Linked DNA regions of Danio rerio. The protein of the gene in region 3 binds, or shares a complex with, the protein of the main gene of each other region. Links are inferred from orthologs where the notes say so. Each region holds a gene or a part of one and is shown on either strand. Other genes may lie near its edges.

Region 1 (7,631 bases), on a different chromosome or scaffold from region 3:
TAGCATTTAATATTAATATCAATGCCTTGGACATTATAAATGATAAAAAGTACGAGTAAAATGAGTAAATGAGGTTTTAGTCATCTATATTTGCCCTTATGTAACGGAAGCCAGCTGGTGATCGCGTAAATCTCAGTCCTCGGATCCAGCGACAGACGTTGTTCTGCAATCTTATCGGAGCTTGTCTCCCATGCTGGCTCGCTCCCTGCTCAGACGGGTGCAGTTACTTGCACATAAACCGTCTATTGATGAATATGATGTTACACATTGCCTATCTTTATTGACTCTTTCTTCCATAGACGCGAAGTATTATATTGACAGCTAAAGAATATAAACGTAAGAGAAACAGGAGAGGAAATATTATAATAATAATACAAAATAGATAAACATTGACAGGGCTAAGAACAATTACGAACAAAGATATTCAAAAGCAGAGAGATTTTATGAGAATGCCACACAAAACAGTTTACTTGGAACTGTTAAACAGAGTTCAGGTATGATTTAAGGTTGGTTATGGATGGGGCGTCTAATTTAAAATAATTTAACATAACATGCGAATGCATATCATTAATATTACTGCCACAGTACTTTCTATACAAGTAAAGAGTCTGCAGCTTTATATGTCTCAAATGTGTGATTAGAGCATGTGCTGCTGTAATAAACATTTGAGAATCAACAAGAGCTAATCTATCCCTACTATTATTGCCACTAGTGTACCACAGTACTTTCTGCACGAGTAAAGGGTCTGCTGGGTAAGAGGGCAACTATAAGTATATATGAACATGTGTGATTAAGGTCAGCACCAATAGCCTAGTGGTTAAGTGCACCTCCATATAACACCATGGTGCTCACGGTGACCCGAGTTCGATTCCCAGCATGAGGGCCTTTGCAGATTTTTTGCATGGATAAAGTGTCTACAAGACAACAGGGCTGCTTTACAAATCTTTTAAATGTGTGATTAAAGCATGTGCTGCTGTAATAAACAATGAGAATCAACAAGAGCTAATCTATCTTGCTATTATTGCCACTAGTGTACCACAGTACTTTCTGCTTGGGTAAAAAGTCTAAAAATTGAGTATAAAAATCTCTGATTAAAGTCAGAGTCAATGGCCTAGGGGTTAAGTGTGCCAACATATAGCACCATGGTGCTCACAGCAACCCGAGTTCGATTCCCAGATTGAGGTCCTTTGCTTGCTCTTCCCCTCTCTCTGCTTCCAACACTTTTCTGTCTGTAACTTCACTATCCTATCCAAATTAAAGCTGAAAAATCCTTTAAAAAATTATTATAAAAAAAAATGTGTGAATAAAGTGTGTGCTGCTGTAATAAACATTAAAAATCCACAAGGGCTAATCTATTTGTACCATTATTACCACTAGTGTACCACAGTATTTTCTGCATAAGTAAAGAGTTTAAAAACAGAGTATAAAAATCTATGATTAAAGTCAGAGTCAATGGCCTAGTGGTTAAGTGCGCCGACATTTAACTCCATGGTGCTCACAGTGACCCGAGTTCGATTCCCAGCTAAAGGCCCTTTGCTGACCCTTCCCCTCTCTCTGCTCTCAATACTTTCCTGTCTGAAACCTCCACTATCCTTCCCATATTAAAGGTGAAAAACCCTTTAAAAAATTATTATAAATAGAATATGTGATATAAGCGTGCGCTGCTGTAATAAACATTAGAGTAAACAAGTGCTAATCTATTCATTCCATTATTGCCTCCACCACAGTACTGTCTGCATGGGTTAAGAGTCTACAGGACAGATTTATACATCTCAAATGTGTTATTTAAGTGTGTGCTGCTGTAATAAACAATGAGAATCAACTAGAGCTAATATATCTGTACTATTATTGCCACTAGTTTACCACAGTACTTTCTGCATGAGTAAAGAGTCTACTGGACAGGTTTTTATTTCTCAAATATGTAAATAAAGTGTGTGTTTTGCTGTAATAAACATTGAGAATTAATCAAATGTGGGATTAAAGTCAGCACCAATGGCCTAGTGGTTAAGTGCGCTGACATATAGCACCATGGTGCTCACAGTGACCCGAGTTCGATTCCCAGCTAAAGGTCCTTTGCTGACCCTTCCCCTCTCTCTGCTCCCAATACTTTCCTGTCTGTAACCTCCACTATCCTTCCCATATTAAAGGTGAAAAACCCCTTAGAATAATTATTAAAAACTGTGTAATAAAGCGTGTGCTGCTGTAATAAACATTAAGAATCAACAAGTGGTAATCTATTAGTCCCATTATTGCCTCTACCACAGTACTGTCTGCAGAGTAAGTTACTTGACGATGTTTAAATGTAAAAGTCATTACTGCAGGAGTTTCACAACACAAAGCTGAAATAATAGCACACAAATGCAACAGCATAAAGATAAAGAAATATAAATATACAATCTCAATGTCTAATAATGTTTTATGCACACAATACCAAGTGATATCTTTGGTTTGTAATCATGAGGACGATCATCTATCAATGCTATTATTGCCACTAGTGTAGTCTAACAATACTTTCTGCATGTGTAAAGAGTTTACAGTACAGACTTATACATCTCAAATATGTTATTTAAGCGTGTTCTGCTGTAATAAACAATGAGGATTAATCAAATGTGGGATTAAAGTCAGCACCAATGGCCTAGTGGTTAAGTGCGCTGACATATAGCACCATGGTGCTCACTGCGACCAGAGTTCGATTCCCAGCTTGAGGTCCTTTGCAGACACTTCTCCTCTCTCTGCTCCTAATACTTTCCTCTCTGTAACCTCCACTATCCTATCCAAATTAATGCATTAATTTTTTTGTAATAAGTATTATTACAAAAATAAGTGATGCAAGCGTGTGCTGCTGTAATAAACATTAAGAATCAACAAGGGCTAATCTATCTATTCAATTTTTGCCTCTACCACAGTACTGTCTGCATGGGTGAAGAGTCTGCAGAGTAAGTTACATGATAATGCATAAATGGTAAAGTCATAACTCCGGGTGTTTCACAACACAAAGCTGAAATAATAACACACAAATGCAAAAGCATGAAGATAAAGCAATATAAATATACAATCTATCTGTCTAATAATATTTTATGCACACAATAACAAGTGATGTGAAGTCTTTGGTTTGTAATCATGAGGATAATCATCTATCAATGCTATTATTGCCACTAGTGTTATTTAACCAATATGTTACTTAAGCGTGTTCTGCTGTAATAAACAATGAGGATTAATCAAATGTGGGATTAAAGTCAGCACCAATGGCCTAGTGGTTAAGTGTGCTGACATATAGCCATGGTGCTCACAGCGACCCGAGTTCGATTCCCAGCTAAAGGTCCTTTGCAGACCCTTCCTCTCTCTCTGCTCTGAATACTTTCCTCTCTTTAACCTCCACTATCCTATCCAAATTAAAGCTGAAAAAACTCTAAAAAAATAAGTATTATTACAAAAATATGTGTAAGTGTGTGCTGCTGTAATAAACATTAAGAATTAAGAAGGGCTAATCTATCTATTCAATTTTTGCCTCTACCACAGTACTGTCTGCATGGGTGAAGAGTCTGCAGAGCAAGTTACTTGATAATGCATAAATGGTAAAGTCATAACTCTGGGTGTTTCAAAACACAAAGCTGAAATAATAACACACAAATGCAACAGCATGACGAATAATGTTTTATGCACACAATACCAAGTGATATCTTTGGTTTGTAATCATGACGATGACAATCTATCCCTACAATTATTGCCACTAGTGTACCACAGTACTGTCTGCACGAGTAAAGAGTCTACAGGACAGCTTTATACTTCTCAAATGTGTAAATAAAGAGTGTGCTGCTGTAATAGACATTGAGAATCAACAAGAGCTAATATATCCCTACTACTGCCACTATAGTGTACCACAGTAGTCTAACAGTACTTTCTGCATGTGTAAGAGGTCTGCAGGACAGATTTATACATCTCAATGTTATTAAAGCGTGTTCTGCTGATTGAGAATGAACTAGAGCTAATATAAGTACTATTATTTCCACTGGTGTACCACAGTACTTTATGCATGTGTATGAAGAGTGTACAAGACAACAGGGCTGCTTTATATATCTCTCAAATGTGTGCTTAAAGCGTGTGCTGCTGTAATAAACACTGAGAATCAACAAGAGCTACTGCTGTCAGTGTTGACGGAGCGGACTGTTGTTGTGTTTCATTGAGTGATAGTAGCGGGCGACGCCATTAAAACTCCGTCCTAAGAAGATAAGCAGGACTCGGTAAGTGTGCTAATAACCCCCGGCGGTGCTCACCAGCTCACGCGGCCCTCAGCAGCTCCGTCCCGGGCTCTCATAATCCGCACGACACGCTAACAGGAGCGAACGAACCGCGGTGTCAACCTGCTACTATATTTCAAAACACTTCCGGATTTCAAATAACAGAGGAAATCCCGCCCACCGCTCTCTATTAAAGCGGGCTGTCAATGGCTGGAGCTGCTGTCTGTATGGAGCGGATGGCCAATCATAAGCGCTTTTAAGAAAACTATTTGAATAAAACTAAACATGCTTGATTTGCGTTTGTTTTTCTTTTTTAAATTAATGTTTGAAAGAATATAATAGCTTGCAACAATCGTGAGACACATCTTCATACACCTCCAAGTCTAAATAGCAGTAAGAAAAATAAATATATGATAATTAAATAAAGAATCTGCATTCATGAATGAAGTCGTGGGCCAACACCACAATATTCAGTCATACATTTTCTTTTTGGCTTAGTGCCTTTATTAATCAGGGTTTGCCACAGCGGAATGAACCGCCAACTTATTTAGCATATGTTTTACACAGCGAATGACTTTTTAGATGCAACCCATCACTGGGAAACACCCACACACACTCATTCACATACACACTCATTCACACTTATACACTAGGGCTAATTTAGTTCATCAGTTCCCCTATAGCGCATGTGTTTGGACTGTGAGAGAAACCGGAGCACCCGGAGGAAACCCACGCCAACACAGGGAGAAGATGCAAACTCCACACAGAAACACCAACTGATCGAGCCGGGACTTGAACCAGCGACTTCTTGCTGTGAGGTAACAGCGCTACCCACTGCGCCACCGCGCCACCCACACCACAATAGTATCAACCAAAAATTTAACATCACAATTCCTATAAAAAGACAACTACCCAGGTTGCACAGAATTCTGCCCAGATTTGGCTCTTTTTTTTTAAGGCGGCACACAATACTTGGGCCAGATGACAAATGTAGTATTTGGGCCAGATGTTAAGGATTGATATGTAAATCTTGACCCCATTTAATATACATTTTTATTATTTTCAAATAAAGAAAAAAAATCCTACCAATCAGGTCGCTTCGAGAAAAAGCATGCCCACAGTACGCCTAAAGCGCACTGCTTCATGGGTTTATCAATTTCATTACAGTGCCCACAGAGCAAATGTTTTCTGGCCCAGCTCCGGCCCACACAATAACTTTTTTCCTTGGCCCAACTACCACAAGGAATAACGGTCCTGAAGTGGCCCATAACTGGATTAAAGACTGAAGCTCTGCACAAGACTTTTGGCCAGCGGAGAAATTAAAATGGTCGTGCCCAACTGAGTCTGGTTCTCTCAAGGTTTTTTTTCTTCACTCCATCAGGTGAAGTTTTTTTCCCTCTCCGCTGTCGCCACTGCCTCGCATGGTTCAGAATTGGTAGAGCTACGCATCGATGAATTTGCTCTTCAGTGTTTGAACTCTTAGTAATGTTAATTACTACTTACTTAGTAATGATTAAATCACACTGAACTGAGCTAAACTGAACTGAACTGAACTTAAACACTAAAACCTGAACCACACTGTTCCAGTTACTGAACCGCACTGTTCCAGTTACTATGACCATTTATGTGAAGCTGCTTTGACACAATCTACATTGTAAAAGCGCCATACAAATAAAGCTGAATTGAATTGAATTGAATTGTTTAAATCACACTGAACTGAGCTAAACTGAACTGAACTTAAACACTAAAAACTGAACTACACTGTTCCAGTTACTATGACCATTTATGTGAAGCTGCTTTGACACAATCTACATTGTAAAAGCGCTATACAAATAAAGCTGAATTGAATTGAATTGAATTAAAGACAAGGGCCACACATGGGCCATCACCGGCCCAAATCTCACCCAATTTATCACCCTTAACTTGGCTTGAAGTGGGCCAAAACAGGTTTATTATTGGTACGGATTCACAGCTATAAGTTTATACTTTAACCAGAAACCCCAAACACTGAGCCCTAACCCAGCCTAATCCCAAGTAGCAAAATGTTCTGGGCCAGACTTTGCATAAAGCTGGCACAGCAGGCATTCGTCCGGCACTGGCATGCAGCATGTGGGCTAAACATGGCCCAGGTTAGGCTGAGGTGGCACCGTCTTACAGACGGCACTCAAGACTTGGGCCAGATGTCAAATGTAGTATTTGGCCCAGATGTTAAAATGTATATGTGGGCCACGTAAGTTTGGCCTAGCCCACTTTTAAAATGCATTTAAATTATTTTCGAGTGAAGAAAAAATTCTACCAATCAGGTCACTTCAAGAAAAAGCACGGCCATAAAGCGAAATGCTTCATGGGTTCATAAATAACATTGCAGTCGTGACACACCAACATATCTAGCCCAGTTCAGGCCCAGTTATGAGTTATTAACTTGGCTGAGACTTGGCCCAGATATGGTCCATGTTTGCGTCTTGTATGGAAGCCAAACTTGGTCCATTCATGTACCGTAATTCACTGCGGCATGTGGGCCAAGCAAATGCTGATCGTGTGGGCCAGATCTGGGCCAGAGAAATTTTGCTATGGGGGATGTTACCTAAACAATGTGAACAATCGCTACACTGATCTGGGCCACACACTTCCCATTCACAACTGGCCCAAATGTAGTTTGCCGTCTTGCATGCAGTGCCATCATTGCACTGCATGGCACACATTTGGCTGACATTATGCATGCCAGTGCCGGCAACACGCCAGCAGTGCCATAATGAGGCCACATTTGGGCCAAGTCTGTTTGTTATGTGGGCGTGACACACCAACTTATCTGGCTCAGTTCAGGCAAAGAGCTTAGAATGACTAAGAGGTGACACTCAATAGAGCGTTCCATTGCAACAGCAGCGTCCAACAACAGCTCCGGATTTCGCCATTTTGGAGTGAAAGCAATCGGCTGTCAATTGGATCTTATTGAGGTCGCGATGGCAAGCAGCTGCTTTGTTTTTTATTTATTTATTTAAAAATCGCATTAAAGCTGAGATACAACCTGAAAGATGACAATACAACACTTACTATCACGATCATCAGCACTTTCACTAGTTTATTTTACAGACTTATAATATGCTGTTGTTCTATTGGAGTTTTTATTCCACAATGGCAGCTTCGCCATCTAGTGGCTGTTTCCTAAATTGCACTAGAGTGTCGCCTCTTGGTGATTCTATGTTGTTTGGTTCAGGCTCAGTTATGGATAATGCCCAGACTTGGGCTGCGTCCGAAACCACATACTTCCATACTATATAGTACGCTAAAATCAGTATGCGAGCCGAGTAGTATGTCAGAATTCATAGAATTCGACAATCAGTATGCGAGAAGTACCCGGATGACTTACTACTTACTGCAAGATTCTAGTGCGCA
Region 2 (7,489 bases), about 32 Mb from region 3:
ACTGAAAGTAATTCTCCTCATTTGAAAAGAGTTTTGAACTCAGTGTTGAAGGTAATGAGTTAATTAAATTCTTCAGTACTTCGACTTAATTGACGTTGACAGTACTCATATAGATTAGTTTAACTCAAATGGTTTGTAGGAATCGGTTTCCTGAAAGGGTTTGAGTTTTTGCTTTTTATTGGGTTTTACAGTACTCAGTTAATTTGAGTTCTTCATTTATTAGGTTTTACTGTGCTCAAACTGCTTCGTTTACTTAAATGGATTAAGTTCACAGTACTCATTAGTATTAGTTTTTGAGCTTTAATGGTTTGTTGCAATCTGTTTCCTCAAACAGTTTGAGTTACCTTAACTTTTTTGATTTTACAGTGTACAAGAGAGCATAGAAATGCAGTCATCTATGATCTTGATCATTTTTGTTAATTCACTTGTTAACTCACACACACGCAAGCACACACACTGTAAATGTGGCCCCAAGAAATGTGAATATAAATGAAAGAATTCACACAGTCAATTTTATTTAACGCAATATAATTTATACCAGATCTTGGAGATTTAAAGGCCTGAATAATTTACATTGATGTACATTTATTTTTGACAGGCTGATGAAAGAACAAAACATGAACTGCATCTGAAGATGACGCTGGTTCAATTATTCTTGCCTATACAGCTCCAACAATAGAAACAGACGAAACGGAAAAAAAAAGGATGGGAAAAAAAATTAAGAAGTCACAAAATAAATTTCGGTTTATTGTCGCACAACAAATTTCACACATACATCAAACAGGCCACAAATAGATAGCAATTTAACAGACAAGAAAGAAAAGAAGAAAATTCTTTTCCTTTGACTTTGCCCTCTCATACAATCCAACTACGTATGATACAACTGATGTACATACACAAAGTTACTGGAATGCTTTGAATTAAAGATTTTTTTTGTGTGTTTTTCAGTCATTTTTCATTTCTTTTTTTGCTGTGTTTTTTTACAAGTTTCGTTTGAGATAACATGACATGGTCAAACCACAAGTAAAATCTATTTCATAGAGAAGCATCAACTTCAAAGCACCGTTTGGTAACCAGAGATCACTGTCAAAAATGGCTGACCTCCTAACAATATGTACAAAAATATAAAATGTAAATAAAAATACAAACAAATTTTTCCTTTTAAAGTATTTTGTAAGAAGGTAGAGCTTTGAAGTCTTGGTTGTTTCTACAAAATCTGCAGTTAGGTGTGTGTACACGGATGCTGGACTCTACTTGATGATGACCACGTTTTTTTGACCCCTCCCCTGATGAACAAGTTAAGGAAAGGAGGGATGAGAACATTTCCAGCAGTGAAGCTTTTTACACATCAGTCTTTTGCTTCTTGGGATCAACATCATCCTGGAAAAAAAGGGTCAGAGTTACACACTGAAGTCGTTTGGTCAGCCTGAGGAATTTACTTTTATCTGAGGATTTCAGTAACATAAAGTGTAAACTTGCCTCATCATCATCATCATCTTCAGCCGCTCTTTTTCCCGTTCCACCCTCAGCCTCCTCATCTTCATCATCGTCATCACCTGTAATGTGGTAATACCTTAGTAATTCATCTTTATTTACACATTTTGGTTGTCAATTGTTTAAACCCACAGCAGATGTTTTAAAAGCTTTTTTTTTTTTTACTTTCATTAAATAAACATACCTTCTCCATCATCCTCCTCATCTTCTTCAGCCACATCATCGTCTTCCTCATCTACTTCATTTTCTGGATCTCCATTCTCCTCGTTTTCCTAAAATAATAGCATTATGGGTTATTAATGGTCGTACTTGAGGTCTTTTAGTACTGAAAACTTTATGTTGTGAAGTAATTATTTGGAATCGTACCGCATTTCCATTCGCGGGAGCATCCTTTCCATTTTCCGCCTCCTCAACCTGTTTCTTTTCTTTGAGGTCCTAAATAAGGAACAAAATATTTCTCTGTAAATTCTTTGGTTGCTTCTCTTAACTAAACAGCGTGAGCAGAGCTAAATTCACATCCTCTCATCTTCGCGGAACGTGTTTTCATTTCACATTTGAAACGCGACACTTTCTCTCTCTTTATTCATTGGACGCCTGTCTCTTCCATCCCCGCCTGGTTTAAAGACCATATTGAGGTGTTGTAATTTGATACGGCGATGGCGTTACCGCCAAAGTGCGCTGTAGTTCAGTTTATTATCCACATCATTACGCTTGATGAAGACACGCCCGCTAAAAAACTACAACTCCCAGATCACAATTAGTGAGTATTTTAAGTCAGCCAATAGGAGAGCGAACTCGACCGAAAAGAGGCAGGACCGATAAACCTCAGAAAAGGAGAGAGTGAGTGAGTGAGAGAGAGAGAGAGAGAGAGAGAGAGCGAGAGGAGGGGGAACAATAGCGTTGTGCATTAAGGCCTTTAATAATTCGTCTTTTTCGAGCACTATACTATTGTTCTCTCGAGAATGACCATTACTATTAAGATGAGCAATGCTATTTATCTAATTATTTAACACGTTGAATCTCCGTATAAAAGCGCATCGTCCCGAATACCAGGATGTGCTTTCATGCAGCAGCTCGCTCGCATTAATAAATTTAGGTCATAATCCTCAGCTTTTAAGCCGGTTAGTGTCCACAACACGCCTGCAACGCCTTCTCACACACCGTCACCACTACATGCCGCTTCACAGCGTCAGTGAGCCGTACATGAATAATGGACATTTGCCACTGTCTACGAGATAATACTGACCCATTTATTGATCAAACAAACAATGTGGGCAGTAAGCTGAAGCGGAAATCATCTCCGTCTTCCGTAGGCAAACAAGAGATGCAACAAAGGACAAACAGGTCAAAATGTTGTGTCCACAACTGGAGTAGGAGATCCTCGTATGACACCAGTGAGGACACCAGTGAGAAGCGCGCACTCGGCTACATGCACTGAACGGGGCCGTTCACCAGCGCGCGGTCCTGCGCTCTCGGGCAGCCCGACGGAGCGCAGCGCAACGGAGATAGATGTAGGATCCCGAGATTACATTTTAAAAGATGAATGAAGCCGTTGCGTCCTATAACGCGGCGCTCGTGCGTGAATCGCTTGAAGGAGCATCACAGCGAGAAGCAACCTGCAAATGCGTCGATCTAGTTTGTTTGCAAATATAAGCAGCGTGAAACAGAGCCGCTGCCTGCACGGGTGCTCGTAACTTCGGGTTTCGCGCTCTCCTGCTGCGCTGCCCGCGCGCGACAATAGAGCTCATCCAGTCCGCCAGACTGCTGCATCCGCAGCGGGGTTTCGCCGGAGAAGTTTACGCACAAGCTGCGATCGCTGATAGAAGCAACTTCTTCATGTTTCGATACAGACTAACCAGTTCTTCCGTGAACCAAAAGAAGAGCCTCGTTTTCTGTTATTTCCTGTTAATTATCACCTAACGTTATCCCGACGCTGTGCAAAGTAGGTTCAGGTAGACTAGATCCACATAAATCTCATAAGCAGCTGATCAATCTTGTATGATGAACTCTGTTTCACCACAAAAAGTGAACTATAAGCCGAACTTGACAGAACTTAGAGGGCAACGTGAATTAAACCCTTGATAAAGTCCCGCTGAATGGAGCGTACATGTGAAGCAGGTTGGTTCTGAACATAATAATCCCAATGATAAATTTGGGTTTTAAACACTAGTCAAAAAGAAAGCAGCTCTAACGTTACATTAAACATCAAGGAAACGTGCTATAAACAGAGGCATCAGACATCGTGAGGGCTGCGGTAAGTTGTGACAGATCGAGCTGCGGGCTGACGAATCACCGCGTCTCGCGGACTCTACGAGGCTCCGTCAGTATATCCGAGTCTGTATTAAGTAATAATCAAACTCGAGCAACTAAACCAAATGAGCAGACTGGAGATAATGCCTACGATCCTCTGCGTCCATCTCTTTCACTATACTTTTTAAAGAGGAACCGAAAATCCTCCTGCATAAACAAAGACCCCGCGCAGAATACGAACAAAAAGCCTTTTAGTTGCAAATGTGTCCGTAAAAATCTCCACTTCACGAATTTACATCCACGAAGTCTTCAAAGTGACAGTGAGAGGACAAAACACCTACAAAAAATTGCCAAGAATATCCCAATAAAGCTGTATGCTGATTTCCATTCCACAATCCATATTTCATACAGCTCGTCTGCTCATATGAATAAAAAGCAGCATCTTTACAAATCAGTGTAAGCCGAAGTTGTATTCATTACCTTTGCGGAGACGTCCTTGTTGGTATCGACTTTTGTGTCAGCCATTTTTCCTAAATGTTAAGATTATAATGGGGTCTCGGAATAAAATAATATAAAGAGAAACACGAGATGCGAATGATAAAAAAGACTACTAAGGGTCTGTAGCGAGCTCAGACGGCGGCAGAGCACTTTTATAGAAGGAAGGCGGAGCTCGGAGGCGGGCGCTGTCCATTGATTGGTCAACATGCCAGCGACTCTGCTTCGCAGATTGGTCTTGATGGAACAATGGACAGTATTTCTACAAAGTCGGACCCCGCCTTCAAACCAGCCTCTGACTCATTTATGTGTGGAATAACTGTCGATATATACTATCCTGGTCAACCTCACAATGATGGATGGCCTAGATGGACTCAATGGCTAAAAAAACAAAACAAACAAAAACAACAACGATTTCACAAAGAGAAAGCCAGCCAGGTCTAGTGTGTTATGCATGCTTCCTGATGTGTTATTACATTTAGTGACATTTAATTGTCATCATACAATATTTTATCACCCCGTTATTCATAAACACTATGTTAAAATTTCACAAAACGCTGTCTTGTAAACTATACAAACATGTATCTAATCAGTATGCAAGCACAGAGGTTACAAATACTACTAAAATGATCATTTATTTGTTTTAGGAAGCGCATAACCATTTTCTTTATCTGAACGAAAGGTCACGCTGAATGAATATAATATTGCGGCAGTTTGTGGACGCCCCACTGGTGAAACCTGCTCAACATTTGACTGACAGTTCTTAAAACCCGCCTCTTTACCAATGTTTCCACTGGTAAGTGGGTAGCCTTTGTAAAATATTATCCTAAGGAGTTGTGTAGGGTTTTACACACGATATAGTTAAGAAATAATACAAAAATAATACACAGTTGGTTCTTCTATTTAGAACAAGACAAAAGTCGCGATTTTAGATGCCTGATGTTAAGCGGAATCTCACTCGCACTTGCAAACATGAATGATTCGAATGCCTGATGAAAAACAACGGATAATCTCAGTAAACGCAGTGTTTTATAGACATACATTTCGTCGTTTAGATAGGTTATGAAATTTAAAATTTGCACGCTGCGGGGAAAATGTAATGGTGTACGTCTTTACCTCACCAACATGGCTGATTGAAATTCCATATGGCGTCTTAAAGTCTTCTTATTGGCCGATTGGGCCGAACGAACACAGACTTGACGCTTTGCGAGCGATGATTGGATAAAGCCAACGTCAATCAACTGAAGTATCGTTTTTTAAGGTGCTAAAGAAAACATGGAACTGGAGCGTTGTCTTTTCCCTTTTCATTTCTCCATTTTCATGTCAAGGACAGATAAAAGGTGTTAGCAAACACACGCTCAGGACTGGATTTTCGCAAGGGTAATTACTAACAGGTTACTTATTGTCATCATTTAGTCGACGCATTTATTTAAAGAGACTTGCAAATGAGACATATCCCAAGCTATTTATCTCACTAACAAAACAGTTGCAGTAGCGCTAAGTTTACAGAGAGCTGTAGTGTAGTAGCTACAAACGTTACAGAAGTAAAAATTATTATTATTATTTGCACAATACAGTATTTAACGAGGCATTAAAATGAGATTTAAAAACTGCAACCTTGTCATCTAATCACATAATTTATTTGCTTAATTACTATCACTAATAACTTTAAGTATACTTATCAGTATTCTGTATGCTTTGTCATTTAGCAGGCACTTTGCATTTGCTACAGTAACTGCATATATGGATCAAACTAAAGTTTAGTGCCTCGCTCAAGGGCAAAATGATGAGCAAAATCTCCCTACACACCAGTTCCTGGGTCACACTATTTGAAATTAAACCTGCAACCTTTGCATTAGCAGCATACACTCCTGACCATCCAGACTCATCCATTTGTCTCTGTCTCATGCATTTATAATCCGTCATTAAAGAAAACACAACTGTTACATATCAACTACTCGTTCAGTAATGGAATGAATAAATGTTTGATGGTATGAAATTAAAATACAGTACATTCATCAATCAGTTCTAGACAATCTGGGATGATTCTGCACAAGTTATAGTCCATTTTTGGACAAAAATACACTTTTCGATAAAGTTATTTAAAGAAAAATAAGAAAATCATATTATTGTACTGTAAATAAGTATTACAATTATAAAACTACATAATTTTAGGATGTAATTTTGTACTAATAATACAAAATAAAAAATAATAGTAAATGCAAAACTGTTTACTATATCAAATACAGTGTGTTTAAAGACATTTGCATCTGCCAAAATTCTCATCAATGTAAAGATCTGCAAAATGTTTGTGACACCCCCTGGAGTGCTGAAACAATCCTTCACTCCATCTCTCTCTCTCTAGCAGATCATTCTCCACCATTACCTCTGCTATAAAGCTACTGCTACAACAAACTGTGAGAGGGATTGCTCAGTGATCTCTGGCATCTAAATGGAGTCTTTTCCTGTCTGCAACAATAATAACCAATCTGGAAATCCCCCTGCTTTGCTGCCGTCTGGTATGGTTGGTCACGTGATTTAACGCAGTCCCAGGGGCTCAGAGCCCTATTGCCCTGGTCTCTTGGATGGTCCTGTTTACTTACACCATCTTATTGCTGCTGAGAATTCACAAATGGCCTCCGGACTAAAATATGGTCATCCCCTGTTCATTACTGCCCAGGTCATCTAGTAGCACAAAATATCGAGGAAGAGTAATTGGATTAATTTAGTATATTATTATTATAGATTTGTTAAAGATGTTCTTGGTCTTCTATAACACACACATGCACAAACACACAGATATATGCGCTGTGCACTTGTATACAGTCTAGTTTATAAACTGTGTATATACACTCACCGGCCACTTTATTAGGTACACCTGTACAACTGCTCGTTAATGCAAATTTCTAATCAGCCAATCGCATGGCAGCAACTCAATGCATTTAGGCATGTACACATGATCAAGATGATCTGCTGCAGTTAAAACCGAGCATCACAATGAGAAAGAAAGGTGATTTAAGTGACTTTGAATGTGGCATTGTTATTGGTGCCAGATGGGTTTGTCTGAGTATTTCAAAAACTCCTGATCTACTGGGATTTTCACGCAAAACCATCTCTAGGGTTCACAGAAAATGGTCTGAAAAAGATAAAATATCTAGTGAGCGGCAGTTCTGTGGGCGCAACTGCCTTGTTAATGCCAGAGGTCTGAGGAGAATAGCCTGACTGTTTTGAGTTGATAGAAAGGACAAAG
Region 3 (7,773 bases):
CTGTCCTTCTCCACATCGTAGCGCTCCACCGTGTTCAGCTGGTTGGTGCCGTCATATCCACCCATCACATAGATGTAGTTCCCCAGCGCACACACACCTGAACACACACACACACACACCAGGACTCTCGTTACACACATGGGCTCTGGGTGACCTTTAACCGTCAGGACTGAGCGGGTCAGGCAGAGCTGTGGGTCCACAAACTGTGTGTGTGTGTGTGTGTGTGTGTGTGTGTGTGTCACCTGCGCCGCTGCGGACTGTGTTCATGGCCGCTATGCTCCTCCACTCGTCCCGCTCGGGGTTGTAGCATTCCGCGGAGCTCAGCCGGTGCGTCCCATCGAAGCCGCCCACCGCATACAGCAGCCGGTTGATCACGGCCACGCCCACTCCGATCCGCCGCGTCAGCATTGGCGACACCAGCTGCCAGCTGTCCCGCTCCGGGTCATACCTCACACACACACACACACACACACAGAGAGTGAACACACACACACACACCCCTACAGACCTGCACTGGCCGATTACTGTCAGGAAGAATCTGACTAGCCCATACACACCTGTCCAACACACACACACACACACACACACACACACACACACACACACACTGAAAGGACTTTGATTTAATTTGATGATTGACAGGGCTCGTAACTAAGCAACAGAGCAGTCCATTAATGAGGAAGTGGAATGTGTACACACACACTGTTCAGTCACACTCCTCTGTCACACACTCATAAGTATGCAGTGTGTCTTCAGTAATAAAGTGCACACTTTTAAGACGATGCGATGCAGAACAGTCTGATATAGTGTGTGTGTGTGTGTGTGTGTGTGCTCCTCCTCACCTCTCCACGCTGTTGTGGTGTGTGCAGCCGTGTGATCCGCCCACGGCGTAGATCATGCCGTCGATGACGCCGACGCCGATGCGGTTGCGCGGGACGCTCATGTGTGCGCAGGGCCGCCAGCAGTTGTTCATGGGGTTGTAGCAGTCCAGCGTGTGTGAGTCCATGTTCCCGTCGGGCCCGTTGTTGCGTCCACCCACGGCGTACAGCAGGCCGCTGATGACGCAGGCCGCCAGCCCGCTGCGGGGCACCTGCAGGTCCGCCAGCCGCAGCCACGCGCCGCTGCAGGGGTTGAAGGCCTCCAGGAAGCTGAGCGACTGCCGGAAGTATCCGCCCACCGTGTAGATCAGCTGCGGCACCTTGGGCGTGCGCAGGGGGATGACCTTGGTGGGCTTGTGCAGCGTCAGGTCCCGGAAGATCTGTGACAGGTAGTCTTTGCTCTGCGCGTCCCACTCGAAGTGCTCCAGCTGCCGCTGCAGGAAGTGCGGCGTGAGCGAGTGGCAGCGGACGGCCTGCAGCAGCGCCTGCACATACGGACGCCGCTCCTCACGGTCGTACTGAACCCACGCCACACACGCGTGGAACACCTCCGACTCGCAGCGCACGTTCAGCTCGTCCCGGCTGATCAGGGTCACCAGCTGACAGTGAGACAGGGTGAAGAACTCCTCCTGCGTCGCCACCTGCAGGACACACACCGCGCGCGCATGTTAGAGTTGGGGTATTGGTGGTGAGGGCATGCTGTTGGGGGGTTTGGGTTAGGGGGATGTACGGTGGTGCAAAACAACAACACAGACTGAAACACTTACGAAGCTCGAGACAAAGGTAGACTCTGGAAAACATTTTCCCACGATAAGACGCAACTACAGAGGAGAAACCATCTCCCCAAGGAGAAACACAAGAACAAGACCCAAAACACTGTTAGCAGTGCCCAAACACACTTACAGGCACACGCAGAGGGAACGCTCCACACACCGGGAAATATCTATAGAGTCACGGTTTGACCTGCTGCGATTAAACATTGTTCTTGTTCTTGTGTTTCTCCTTGGGAAGATGGTTTCTCCTCTGTAGTTGCGTCTTATCGCGGGAAAATGTTTTCCAGAGTCTACATTTGTCTCGAGCTTCGCTTCGTATTTGACATGAAACGCACATTTTACTCATATATGTAGCGTGTATATGCCCATGAGCTGCCCAGGCGGAATCTGCACACGGTTTTGCTTTTTCTGCACAAAATTGTGTTCAAAATCTGCGGATTTATGTGTAATTATTTTAGGAGTATCATGACTAAAACCCTAATATATGAACTAAAACTAATCCCTTTAAACTTTAATTTCATGTTTACAATGCAAATCCATACAGATCCACTTTATTTGGTAAACAAAGCCAGTCTCTCGTATCATATCTCTCCTGAAGACATGACTGCACACTGCGCTGTACATAAATCAGATCAACATTTTCAGATCAGTCAATAATATTACAGAATAAGTACAGATGTACACACACTAACTCAAGTGAATAGACAGAATCAATGATGAGCTAAACATCTGCAGAATTCTGCGGGCCCGAATCCTCAGTGATCCCGCCGGGCTCAGATCATTTCTCTTTCTCACTACAGTCCATCTGCTCCAGAGTTTTAACTGAACCTCAGTCAGGCGATCTCGGACTGATTGATTTGGTGCAGATCCAAGCACAATTGCTGGATTCACATATGCCAAACGAGCCGCGCTGACTGGACTAACGGGACGGTTCCGAAACAGAAGTGTGGGTGTGAAAGCCCCTTATTGAGGCCTGAACTCTTGTGTTGGTGTGTGAGGGGTGTGAGAGCGGTTATCCTGTGTGCGTCGGCCGCTCTGACCTGGCTGAAGTTCATGTAGATGTACTCTCTGGCCTTCTGGTGGAGCTCCGTGCAGCCGATCTGCTCGGCGAAGCTGGCGATGCCGATGGCGTTACTGGGGTCCAGCTGCTCCACCAGGAAATCACAGCAGGCCTGAACCACGCTGTCGATCTGGTACATCACGGCGCCGTTCATCACGTGGATCACACACTTCTCACCCACTGAGATGCTCGCCGTGTACGCAAACTCAATGAGCCGGCCCATGACCTGGAGACAAGAACACACACGCACACACACACACACACACACACACCGTTTCTGAAGTGGGCACACTGAAAGGCACAGGTCACCTATAATGAACATGTCCTCCTCCTTTCCTCACTCGAGCGCTTCTACAGCTTCATCAGTCTCTGATACTCTGAGGAATGCTGGGAAAGCAGCCGCTGACGTCCACAGCAGGAACAGAAACACTGCTGCAGTCATCAGCTGCTTCCTCCAGGACATCTACCGCTGTGTTCAACAGAAACTCAAACAGGTTTGGAGGAGGAAATGAGGAGAGAGAACAGCTGCTGTCACTGATCACCTGACCACTGAGCTGTGTGTGTGTGTGTGTGTGTGTGTGTGTGTGTGCTGGAGCTCAGGAGAGGAGCTGTACACATTCAAGACCATCACTGTATCATGATGCAACACTCACACAAACACACACACTCACACACTCACACACTCGCACACACACACAGCTGGGAAAACTGCACTACAAATCCAAATTCCCATTTATTATTTTTTCCTAGTGTGTGTGTGTGTGTGTGTGTGTGTGTGTGTGTGTGTGTGTGTGAGTGTGTGTGCTGGTACCTTGGGGTGTATCCCCTCGATGGGCACCACCTCCATGCCGCACTCCTTTAGGCCGTTGGTGAACATGGCGCGGAACACAGGCGAGGACGAGGCCAGCACCACCTTATGCGCCACGAAGTCGACGTGTGTGTCGAGCGGGCAGTAGCGCACGCGGAGTGTGACGTCACACAGCTGTCTCTCGCGCCGCAGCTCGTTCATGATGGCGAAGGCGGCGGCCGTGTGGCTCTCCAGCGTGTAGCTGAAGACGCGGTGCCCATTGCTGGCCGACGGCGTCACCTCCGCCTTACACTCCGTCATGCCCGCCGCCGCCAACATCAGCGCGGGCACATCCTCACTCGCCAGCGCAGCGGTCACGAGAACACACACACACCTGTGTTAGAGACACGCACACATCATACACACACCGCTCATCACCAGCAGGAACACACGCAGAGGAACGCTCACATATCTGTGTTCTCCTGACCAGTGTGAACACACACACACACACACACACGCACACACACGCGCCTGTCAGTCAGTCTGTAGAGGAGGGCAGAGCTGCTGATCTGTGTCTGCACGCGAATCCTGAGGGGGAAACACACACACACACACAGAGAGAGAGATTAGAACAAACACTGAGGATTCACCACTGACTACGATAACACACTCTGCCATGAATGATCAGGAGTATCACACACACTCTCACACACACACACACACACACACACACACACACACACACACACACACACACACACACTCTCTCTTCTGTTGGACTCAGGACTGGTTCATCAGATCTTCGTCAGTGATTTGATCAGAACTAATGAGTTTCAGGAGTTCCTCCTGTCGTTAGCAGGAGTCTATCTTCTGCTTACACACACACATACACACACACTGACTACACACACACTGTCCTGCTGTCAGTGAACCAGAACACACTCTGATCCACACTTAGTGTGTGTGTGTGTGTTTATGAGTGTGTTTTTGTTTGTTTATGAGTGTGTGTACAGGTAAACAGAATCTCACACACTGTTAAAAATGCAGGCTTCCACACAATTCATTCATCTTGACCCAACACAAGTCGATTGAGTTAACTCAACACATTTAACAAATGCGTGTGGATTGAACATAAGAAATTTAAGTTCTCACAAATGAAACCTCAAGAATTGTGTTGTTTCAGCTCATTTTAAATAAGTAGTTTAAAAGAGCAAATATATATGCAGCAGGTGTGTGTGTGTGTGTGTGTGTGTGTGTGTGTGTGTGTGTGTGTGTGTGTGTGTGGTTCCAGCTGTCTGCTAGGTTTATTTTAATGTGTTTCTGTCAATTTGCTGAACTGAAGTGTTTATCTCCGTTTATCCTCCTCACCCCGGCTCTACAGTCATGCTTTAATTTGATTTCCGCTGTTTTCAGCTCTTATAATAACACTAAGAACACAAAGCGCGGTAAATACACATAAACAGCGAGAGGCCTGAGATCCCCGGGCTTGAGTTGAAACGGCACCGGCCCCCGGCAGCGCAGATCCGGCCACACTCAGCAGCGGCGCCGCGCCCGAGCGGGAAACCACAGACCGAGGCTGAGGAAAAGTTCAGCGCTACGCGACCCGCGCTTTAAATTATTGATGGAAACGCGAGCCGACCTCAAATCAAAACACTTTATTCGTGTTATTACCATGTTCTTACCGCGTTATAAGCCTCCATAAACAACACAGTGATCAATCAGGAATAAAGATGAAGATTAATAAAGTTCATCATGAGCTGATCTTCATCAATAAGGAGACAAGCCGCCATCCTCATCCTCACAGCTGTACATCAGAAACTGCATCAACACGAGCCTGTAGATCTGACAAACGCGGCAGTAATGTCGATTAAACACAGTAAACAATGAAAACACACTCACGGGCATCAGCAGCAGCGCACGGACACTCTCTCTCTCTCTCTGTGTGTGTGTGTGTGTGTGTGAGCACTTCTGTGTGTATGTGAGTGTGTGTACTTGTGTGTGTATCATACCCACTGAAAGCAGAAACTCAGCGTGACTAAGCATTAGCTGGCCTGTGTGTGTGTGTGTGTGTGTGTGTGTGTGTGTGTGTGTGTGAGATGCAGTACTGATGTTGGACACGAGGTGTCGCTACAGGTCAATAGAGCGGGCTGCTGCTGGGCTGTGTTTGAGCTGTTCTGCTGTTGGCTGTTCTGGGATCTGTGGTTCAGCTGACTGAACAGCTTCTGTTCTGTTCTGCTCCAGTGTGATCATCAGAGGAGGAGCTGAGCTGAGCTGAAGCTGCACACATCTCATGCCTATACTGGATCCAAAACACGATCAGTAAAACAGTCCGGCTCTCAGTGAGCAGAGCGGAGCGACAGATGGAGGACTACATGCAGAGTTATGTGTGTGTGTGTGTGTGTTCAGCAATTAACATTTTACACTGAAGGACACACACACACACACACACACACACACACACACACACACACACACACACACACACACACACACACACTGCCTCTCCAGTCTGACTTTCATTAATGAGTAAATAAACATTAAAATCTTTGTAGAAGAGCCCAATCTGTGAACAGCTGACCTCTGACCTCTGACGTGCCCGTCTACTGGAGCAGCGACTCACACTCTACTGCACTTCAGTCTGACACTCACGGCAGAGCAACACACACACACACACACACACTGGTCAGGAGAAGCTGAGAGACACACACACACTCTTCACATCTCTATTTTAATATTTCATGAGAAGTTCCAGTTTTGACAGATGACTAAGCTTGTGTGTGTGTGTGTGTGTGTGTGTGTGTGTGTGTGTGGGTAAGAAAGAGAGAGTGTGAGCGATTGAGAGATGCCCGTGGTTTAGGTGTGACGGCTCTGAGGTTGGTTTGAGTGTGTGTGTTTGTTTACGGTAAACAGTGTAAAGGTGAGCTCTGTGGTGTTTCCATGTTTGTTTGTGTGTGTGTGTGCTTGTGTGTGTGTGTGTGTGTGCATGTGTGCAACAGCAGCCCCTCTGCAGACGCACAGCTGAATTTGCAGTCACCCACATGTGTTTGTTGGTTTCCGACACGCACACACACACACACACACACACACACACACACACACACACACACACACACACACACCACACACACACACTTGTGTTCTGAGCTTTTAGTTTTTGTTTCTTCTGATGATCACCATCCCAGAAATATTTGGAGTAATTTTGGCAGCTCGTCTCCTCTCTCCTCAACCCTCACACACACACACACACACACCTTCACACTCCTCCATTCTGCCGGCTCTATCAGCCTTTTTCCTCACAGAGACCCAAAATAATGTCCCCATGAGATCATTTACTGGTATTGCTATACTTGTGGGGACATTTGGTCCTCATAAGTGATGAACACCAGATAAACTGACCCACACATATGAAGCAGCTGTAGGTTATATTCTGTCTGGGTTATTCATACATGATTTATTATACAATAAAATAGAACATCATTTATTTACACGTTAAAGCAGTAAAGCGTCCCCACAGCGCTGACACACGAGCGGCCGCAGACCCCACAGACCCCGCAGACCCCGCAGACCCCGCAGTCTGCTCAGTCCATCACGAGCTCATCCAGCTGCGCTGACCCTCAGTTCTGCTGCTGAGCGCTGTGGAGCCAGAGCAGAGACAGCACCACAGCCAGGACATCTGCTCTCTCTGAAGCTCATCACACTCAGTCTGAAACACACATCTGCTGATAGAGATCTGCAGGTGTGTGTGTGTGTGTGAGTGTGTGTGTGTGTGTGTGTGTGTGTGTGTGTTGACCTCCTTTGAGGCTTCTGAAAGGGTTTTTTGCCCCCGTGTGAGTCTGGTGTCCAGAACACTGCTCAGTTCCTGCCGTGTGACGTGATGTGTGTGTGTGTGTGCGCATGTGTGTGTGTGTGTGTCTCAGAGTCAGGTGATGACGGACAGCCGCAGTTTGGGGTAGATGGACTTGTGTATGGACGTGGCGTTGGCGGATGAGAGTGTGTTCTGCAGGCCGTGGCGGTGTGTGTCCGGTGTGCAGCGGCAGCACAGCAGCTTCAGCACGGCGCTGCGCACGTCTCTGCTGCTCAGCGTGTAGATCACGGGGTTCAGCAGCGAGTTCAGCATGGCCACGCCCAGGAAGTAGTCGGCCTTGAAGAGGATTGGACAGGCTCTGGCGGGGCAGGAGACATCCAGCAGCAGCAGCGCGAACAGCGGCGTCCAGCACAGGATGAAGGCGCCCAGCACCAGCGCCACCGTCCGCAGCAGCGCCATGTGTTTGCGGG

Evidence for each region. Proteins that work in one complex are often made in the same cells at the same time.
Region 1: the proteins of keap1b (region 3) and fbxl17 are in contact, whole or in part, in a crystal structure (PDB 6W66), measured with the Homo sapiens proteins. The link is inferred for Danio rerio from reciprocal best matches to the Homo sapiens genes KEAP1 and FBXL17. Residues at the interface, in NP_036421.2 of Homo sapiens: His59, Thr60, Ala63, Ile66, Met67, Glu69, Leu70, Gln75, Leu76, Gln82, Lys84, Ala90, His96, Val98, Ala101, Ser102, Ser103, Ser104, Pro105, Val106, Lys108, Ala109, Met110, Thr112, Asn113, Gly114, Val122, Ser124, Glu126, Gln163; in NP_001156787.2 of Homo sapiens: Asp395, Arg397, Arg421, Lys423, Asn447, Gln473, Tyr475, Met524, Arg548, Asn572, Cys574, Leu575, Trp577, Glu596, Tyr598, Val600, Ser601, Asp623, Trp626, Lys628, Tyr647, Met651, Arg652, Val676, Leu677, Asp679, Cys680, Thr683, Leu684, Arg686.
Region 2: the proteins of keap1b (region 3) and ptmaa are in contact, whole or in part, in a crystal structure (PDB 2Z32), measured with the Mus musculus proteins. The link is inferred for Danio rerio from reciprocal best matches to the Homo sapiens genes KEAP1 and PTMA. Residues at the interface, in NP_001103775.1 of Mus musculus: Tyr334, Ser363, Arg380, Asn382, Arg415, Phe478, Arg483, Ser508, Gly509, Tyr525, Gln530, Ser555, Ala556, Tyr572, Gly574, Phe577, Ser602; in NP_032998.1 of Mus musculus: Gln40, Asn41, Glu42, Glu43, Asn44, Gly45, Glu46, Gln47.

What each region holds. Positions count from the first base shown.
Region 1 is NC_133183.1:1,641,457-1,649,087, reverse strand, and holds the start of fbxl17 (F-box/LRR-repeat protein 17), read right to left. Parts: upstream 4,370-7,631; 5' UTR 4,275-4,369; intron 1-4,274. UniProt on the Homo sapiens protein: Substrate-recognition component of the SCF(FBXL17) E3 ubiquitin ligase complex, a key component of a quality control pathway required to ensure functional dimerization of BTB domain-containing proteins (dimerization quality control, DQC).
Region 2 is NC_133181.1:32,299,277-32,306,765, reverse strand, and holds ptmaa (prothymosin alpha-A), read right to left. Parts: upstream 4,370-7,489; 5' UTR 4,270-4,369; coding exon 4,225-4,269; intron 1,930-4,224; coding exon 1,861-1,929; intron 1,767-1,860; coding exon 1,679-1,766; intron 1,557-1,678; coding exon 1,342-1,556; 3' UTR 719-1,341; downstream 1-718.
Region 3 is NC_133181.1:200,988-208,760, forward strand, and holds the start of keap1b (kelch-like ECH-associated protein 1B), read right to left. Parts: upstream 5,198-7,773; 5' UTR 5,181-5,197; intron 4,087-5,180; 5' UTR 3,838-4,086; coding exon 3,523-3,837; intron 2,938-3,522; coding exon 2,692-2,937; intron 1,520-2,691; coding exon 843-1,519; intron 449-842; coding exon 243-448; intron 98-242; coding exon 1-97. Other genes in the region: s1pr5b (sphingosine 1-phosphate receptor 5b), read right to left, coding at 7,418-7,773. UniProt on the Homo sapiens protein: Substrate-specific adapter of a BCR (BTB-CUL3-RBX1) E3 ubiquitin ligase complex that regulates the response to oxidative stress by targeting NFE2L2/NRF2 for ubiquitination.